2 linked regions of the Caenorhabditis elegans genome follow. The protein of the gene in region 2 purifies or fractionates together with the protein of the main gene of each other region. This does not show direct contact. Each region holds a gene or a part of one and is shown on either strand. Other genes may lie near its edges. The genes, in order: F53B2.8 and ZK1098.11.

Region 1 (3,742 bases), on a different chromosome or scaffold from region 2:
ACATATTTTCGATAACAAGGAATACTGTAAATTAGGAAAAGGGGAAGCAATAAAAATTCGTAAAATTATAACAAAAGTGGAGTGAGACACAGAAATTTGGAAAGGGAAGTGGATTTAAATTGCTGTGGGAACAGTCTGAATTCTCCTTAAAATTTAATTTACCGGATTATGAAGAAATTTCCCAAATTCCAGTAGGCAAGCACGTTTCCTCCTACTGTATTCTTGCCTGCCTACAAGCTTGCCTACTGCCTAGGCATCTGAATTTTTGCAAACAATTAAAGGATCGGAAATAATTTTGCAAGTCTATAGGCACGTTTTGTAGGCAGGAATCAGGTGTAGGTCTCCTTACAAGGCAGATGTGAATTTTTACGAAGCAGATCGGGTCTCACTACAAAACGTGTCGGTTACTGTAGCTAGCAAGTTTTCTGAATCTTAAATTTGATCTGATAGTGAGCAGATAAAAAACGTTAGTGGGAAATGTGGTCTCACTTTGAAGATCAAGTTTCAAATTGAAATTTCGAATAAGATTGAAAAAATCTACCATAACCATTAGTTTTCATGGCGAGACCTCTCATGAATCATGATTACATTTCGAAGATTTTGGTATGCTGATTTGAAATTTGTAAATTTTGAATCAAACATTTTTTATTAACAAATAAAAACTTCAAAGTGAAAAATTCAAAACGTCCACAAATTAAATTTGACATCCAGATTCATATTCTTCTTATTAATTTTCCACTTAACAATTTTTTTTTCTTCCAAATGATCCAAAGCCCACACTAACGGCGTGAAGCAGCAGCTCTCATATCACGCAATGCTTTCGGAGCCTTATGAAGATTGGCGACTAGAGCCAAATATGGAAGACGGGGTGGTCTTGGGGCTGGTACCCGGATCTTTCTGGCTCTGGGGACTTTTGGCCCTTGTGCTTCAGAGCCTTGATGTGGTTTTTCCTTGATGCTTCTCAAAGCTTCCAACTTTTTTTGAATCTTCAGTGCTTTTCTCTCCAGTTTCTTATCTTTTTTGGCTCGTTTCTGCTCCTCTCGACTTCGTTTTAAGGTCAGTTGAAGTTCGAGTTTCTCCAATTTTTCCAGCTTTCTTTCCGGAGTGTTTTCCTTGGAGCGTACCCTTTTCTGGTGTTTCCCAACATTTCCCAGCTTGGATCTCAGTCGTTTCTTTCCACCCATGTTATTCTTCGGGGCTCTTTTCTTCCCAACTTTCACGTCATCTTTTTCTGAAATTTGCGAATCTCATTCGAGTATGTAATATAATCTGCCAAACGTAAACTAGACTTATCACATAGATTTATTACGATAATTTGCTCGTCAAATCTGTTGTTTATAAAGTTTTCGCGTCAAATTTGCGTATTTGCTATACCGTTCAGTGAACTAAAATTTTCCGAACACTACAATCGACGCTCAACACTAAAAGTCAAATGTAATTCCTTACTAACCTTGCGTACTCATAGCATCTCCCAAATCCTCCTCCGGCTCCACCTGTGGCTCCTCCACCTTATTTCTCTTAAGCTTTCCCACTGTAAATTTGAGCATTTTCAAATTTTTCTCGACTTTAAAAACTTACACAACTTCTTGCCCATTGGCATTTTCAGTTCAAAGCAATTGATTTTAGCAGTACAAGTAACCACTGAAATTGCAGGCACTGAGGAGGGTTTTTGTATCAATTTCTTATCAAAGAGTTTTTATCATCAATAATGTTTATAAGTGTGGAATTCTGAAATAGTGATGTTGACTATGAGTAAGGTAGTATTAAAATTGAAAATGTCATGTGAAATGGGAATGTTGACAGGAAAGATTATTGGAAAGTATGGGGAAATCGTGAGACCCAGAGGGAAAAGATGGGTGACGGGATTGCGAAATCAAAGTGTTGAAATTTTTAACTACAAAATTCACTAGAAATATGCTTAACAAATATTACACCCAAAGCATTTCAGCATTTCGAAAATTTTAACTTAGGCAATGTTTTAAATTTTTTAATATTCGAAATTTTCATTAACATTTGATTTTTTCAGACTACTGCCAGGTACAGCAACCCTCGGTTTTTACTGTGTGACCAATTTTTATCGATGACATAAAGTTATGGTATATTTATATTCAAATTTAAGTTTTTAAGTTTTCTGATTTTTAATCTTATGAATTACTATACAATTCAAGATTTAAAACATCTAACAGCTCATCGTCGTCGTTCAACATCTCCCCAACTCAAATTCAAATCTAGAAAAAGTGCTTTTGTTCCTTACAAAAACCGCCAAAAGGAATGAGTAACAGATTGTCATATCACTATCCCATCACATTGCCGCCGGAAATTGGCAAATAGAAAAGGACGACGGGTATTTGAATTCAAACTGGAAAACATTTTTGTAGTTGGAAGAGTCGAATAGTTTTGGCAAAGTTAATGCAAATCTACCTAAAAACCTAAAAGAGATGTTATAATAATTGTGTATTTGTAAAAATCATGGAAGCCGACACTTTACTGATCATATTTAACTTTAAAAAAATCCTTTTTCTCACATTTTGTTGCCTGAAAACTTGAAATATTTTAGGAGTGAAGAAATTTGGAAAAAATCAATTACCGGTAATTACCCCCTATGTTCCAAAAACATTTAAAATCCTCTTTCCCCCATTCCTAATCCATCTATTCATCATCATCTCATCAATTGTTTATGCACCTGTTCAGGAAGTGCACATAACATCTAATTGTCCAAAAAGAGTACACAAACCGGTAGAAAAATCGCAGTTGAAGAGCCAGTAATCTGTCAGTAATCTGATTGGAATTCGAGTGAACAAATAAAAACAGGTGTATTGGAAATGTTCAAGTAATTTTAAATATCACAGAAACGTAATTAGACAACATTTTCTGCTGATTGATGGGTTGATATTTTAAACCTACACAATCAAAATTCGTATTTTTATTTTCAAACGAGTAAATTCAAATGCTCATGCTGTGAAAGTCGTCTGAGAGCTTGCTGTAGCAAATCACAGAACATCCTTTGGCAATATCTTCATCTTTCCGTTCAGGTGGCGCCAAGTCATTCATCAAAGATTTCAGTTCGGCTTTTTGAATCGAAAACTGAAACACACGGATTGTTAAGTCTAAGGATATTCAACTAACGTTTGCTCCAGCTCTCTCAATACATCCCAAAATATCCAAACGTTGGAACAATGTGTACTGCCATGGATGCTCACGGAGCAGTTCAGTTGCAGTTGTCGCCGCCTTTTCATTCAAACGAACATCATCAAAATCGAGAAGAGCTGGAAAATGCTGTACTATTCCTAAGGAGACGAGAAGATACGTTTGATGCTCATCTGCAGTTGCCAATAGATTTCCAATAATCCACAGACATTCCTGAAATAACCATAGATAATTTCTAAGCTCGAAAATAAATTTTGTTTCAAAAGATGTGTTCAAAGCTAACTACAGTATTGTCTCTATTGTACTTGCACCCTCATTAATTCACTTTGACGGCTCATATCTTGACTGTCTCAAGTGTTATCAAACAATTTCACTATCAAAACGTAGAAAAACATTTTGCACGTATTTCTTCAGTTGACAATTTTTTGATAAAACGGAAGTGAATCGAGATATATGCCCTGTCAATGTAAAACAATGGTGGTGCATGTCTAATAAATAAAATACTGTTCATATAATTTTATATCAGCTTACCTTTCTCAAGCGTTTGTCTCCAGTATGAATCCCAGCCATCACCCATTCATAGAAAGCATCTGGA
Region 2 (3,426 bases):
AAAAAAGTTGGGCCAACATGGTGCAATTTAACAGGCGTGAAGTTTCTTTTTCTAGAGTTGTCGTAAACAATAGATTCAAGCTTCATTGTTCATTCTTTCAGACAATTCACACCGGATTTTCGTTCATCGTGTTCCTCATTGAGCACAAGCCTCTCATCATGCTCCATGTCGGTTACATGACTCTTCTGACCATCATTCCGATTGCTTATATGGTCATGCAGGGTGTTGAGTTTGGTAAGAAGCTTATTAATACGAATTTCTTCAAAATGCTCCAATTTCAGGAATCCTCATCTTCGATGACTATCACATTCTCGTTTTCCGCGATTTTCATAAGTTTGGATGTTCCATCATGTTCTCCCTATGTAAGAGTTTGTTATTCAGTAATTCATGAGAATATTAATTTTCAGACTACATTGGATACATTGTCGTGTGCTTCCTGTTCATCGAAGCTCTCGAAAAGAAACCAGTTCTCCCACAGGTTTATTCGATCAAGCCAAAGCTTGTTGCCGCGGTTAATCCATCGAATAATTGCAATGTTTACCCAATGCTCTGAGCCCCTAGTGCCACAATTTGTTACCTTGTTTTTTTGTTCTCTCGTTGTTCATCCCGAAGAGCTCTAGCTCAACTGCTTGTTTTGTTGTTTTATTAAAAAACTTGTTCTCAAAATAACTTTATTAATTACAACCCTTACAATACAGGCACAAATCTTCACAATCGAAACATTTAAAATTCGAATATTCACAGCTTGTGGCGAATATCGAGTTGCTTCTCCTCTTCAGTTGCACTACTTCCATCAAGATATTTTGCTACGTACCAGCAGGTTGGCTGGACGAGATACTTGTTGTCGGCGGCGTATTTGAGTCCTTCCTTGACGAGAATTTTGGCGACTCCCTTTCCTTGTTGGTCTTCTGGGGTTACGGTATGTTGAAAATCGAGCACGCGATTTGGAAGCTCTGCGTATTCCAGATAGGCTTTCGAGCCGGTATCTAAAAGAAATTAACAAATTTGAAAAGGGATCACAATTTTCAGCATAAAAACTTTTTACAGATGGGTTTTTCGAACAGTTATAACCCAGGCGTGAAATTTTGCGATTTTTGCACCAGAAATACGGTGCCTGGTCTTGTGACGACAAATTTTTGTTAAATGCAAAAAGGTGTGCGCCTTTAAAGAGTACTGTAGTTCTTAATTATGGTTGCAGTGTAATTTTTCATAGTTTTTCTATAAAAAAATACATCATAAAAAATCGAATATAACTATAACAACACAATTTAAACAAATCTAGAGAAAAATTGGAAATTTAAGAAAATTCCGCGTAAACGAGGGTTTGAAATTACAGTACCTTTTAAAGGCGCACACCTTTTTGAATTTAACAAAAAAATTGTCCTTGCGAGACCTGGTACCGTATTTTTTGGACAATTTGTCGCGCCTGGGAAAATTCATAATTCTCAAAAAACTTACTGAATTTAATGAAAAACTCCATAGCTTTTTTGCAGTGTTCGACACGGAACGCCATTCTAAATTGATTTTTTCTGTTTAAAATCTACTTTTTTCAAGAGTAGAAATATTTGCAGTCTGATTGAATACGGTACTCTCAGGCAATATTAGTTCTTGAGGCGACTTTCATTCAAATTTTTGTAAAAGTAATGAAAAATAAAGAAAAAAAATTCGACAAGACAAAAGCACGAATATTCACAGAAAAAGTTTGGAAAAAGAGACTAGAATGCGTTAGAAGTGGGAGGGTGAGGGATGACAAGAGAGGAGACGGAGGGAGCAACCGAATATTAGACATTTCGTAGGAAAATGTACAATTTACATGAATTTTGGATGCATTAAAACTTTTAATTGAATTGAATTCTAGACAGGGAAAGTGGTGAGAAAAAGCCTTTTGGAAAAAGAAATCGAATCAAAATGCAAAATGAAGAAGAACGAATGGTTATGCAAAGCATTGAGGTTGAAGAAAAAAGAAGAAAAGAGATCGCATTGAAAAGCGAAATGAATTATTTTGAGAGGATCGGAAGTTCTGCATCGACTTCCCAGATAATCAAATGTGACATATCACGTGGCCGAATTGATTGCCCTGTCAGCTCCGGTTCGTTTTCTTCACCTGAAATTGTATACATTTCTAACAGTCCGTATAACTATTTTATTACCTATCCTAAAGTCAATATATCCATCTCCACCAGACATGATCAACATTCGACGTAGAGTCACTTCTGCCGACTCATCTTCTCCGTTCTTCGATGCTCCAGGTACTCCAAGGAAGAACTTGACACTGTCTTTATGACCATGGAATGATAATTGAGCATGTGCCAGGTTGCAGTACGGAATGAAATCATCATTTGTTTTTTCGTCGTTAGTGGCGTTTTCTGAAGTTGCTCCATAAACTCTGACGAGTCCACCTGGTCCCGCAGGACGTTTTGAATCTTTTGTTTCGATCTTCTTTTCGAGTTCTGGAAAAGTAAACTGGTTGGCATAAGATTAGGGAAATTTAATCACTCACGTCCAGAAAATGGCACAGAAATGATAACACCAGTTCCAGTTCCAATCCAAAGTCTTCGATTTGAGACAAGAAGCGCCGTTGTTCGCATGTATGAGAAATCAAGTTTAGATGTCCCAAGCATTTTTGTCACATATGGTTCTATATCAACATCTTGAAGGTGTTCATATGTATGTGCATGATAGAGTCGGAGAGTTGAATCGAGACGAATCGACAACCATACTCCGGCTCCAACCCATTGCATGTTACGGACTTGACTGTCTTTTCGTGGATGAGCAGCGAATACTTTCTGGAAATTTAAATTTTAGGAACGGAATTGAGGGATATACTTCTCGAAGAAACGCACCACGATTTGGAGACTTTCAGCGTCAAGAACAACTACACAATTCTTGTAGGTCGCCCAAATGTTTGTAGAGACAAGGCACAAGGATCGGACTGATGACGTGGCACTTCCAACACGTAGAGAATGATATCCTTCGTCGGACCATTCACCGTCTGAATTTTAATTAAATATTATCATCGATTCATTCATTTTATTATGAACAGGGTTGTGGATTTTTTTGGTTTTGTTTTTTTGGAAATTAGACGAAAAATTGGGTTTTAGTTTTATTTTGACACATACATTGAGAGATTTTTGTATTTTGCAAATGTTCTTTAGAAAAATATGCGTTTTATAATTTTTTTTTTTCAAAAACTATCTATCCTTATATTTTGAATAGTACTTACGTCTTGAGCTTAAAATTTTTTCTCAATTTTTTGCACAAAATGTATAGAACCTACGTTTATTTCTATGGAATATGGCAATTGTTCCATTGGCAAGAGCAGCAAAGATACGGCTTTTATAGTGTCTGTAACAATTTTTATTTTGAAATGGGTATCACAATTTGAATAGACGTACACAATACTGAGAACTGCATCAGGCATTTTGA

The links.
Region 1: the proteins of ZK1098.11 (region 2) and F53B2.8 fractionate together in Caenorhabditis elegans (co-fractionation; one large-scale study listed by BioGRID). This does not show direct contact.

The regions. Positions count from the first base shown.
Region 1 is NC_003282.8:12,525,620-12,529,361, forward strand, and holds F53B2.8 (Coiled-coil domain-containing protein 86), read right to left. Parts: upstream 1,778-3,742; 5' UTR 1,601-1,777; coding exon 1,579-1,600; intron 1,532-1,578; coding exon 1,451-1,531; intron 1,232-1,450; coding exon 780-1,231; 3' UTR 612-779; downstream 1-611. Other genes in the region: F53B2.5 (Importin subunit alpha), read right to left, coding at 2,944-3,084, 3,127-3,360, 3,679-3,742.
Region 2 is NC_003281.10:9,554,688-9,558,113, reverse strand, and holds ZK1098.11 (Protein NATD1), read right to left. Parts: upstream 1,515-3,426; 5' UTR 1,514-1,514; coding exon 1,459-1,513; exon of another isoform or gene 987-1,458; coding exon 739-986; 3' UTR 660-738; downstream 1-659. Other genes in the region: C48B4.6 (uncharacterized protein), read left to right, coding at 102-234, 282-362, 408-553; unc-16 (JNK-interacting protein), read right to left, coding at 1,998-2,104, 2,151-2,450, 2,501-2,786, 2,844-2,992, 3,278-3,345, 3,396-3,426.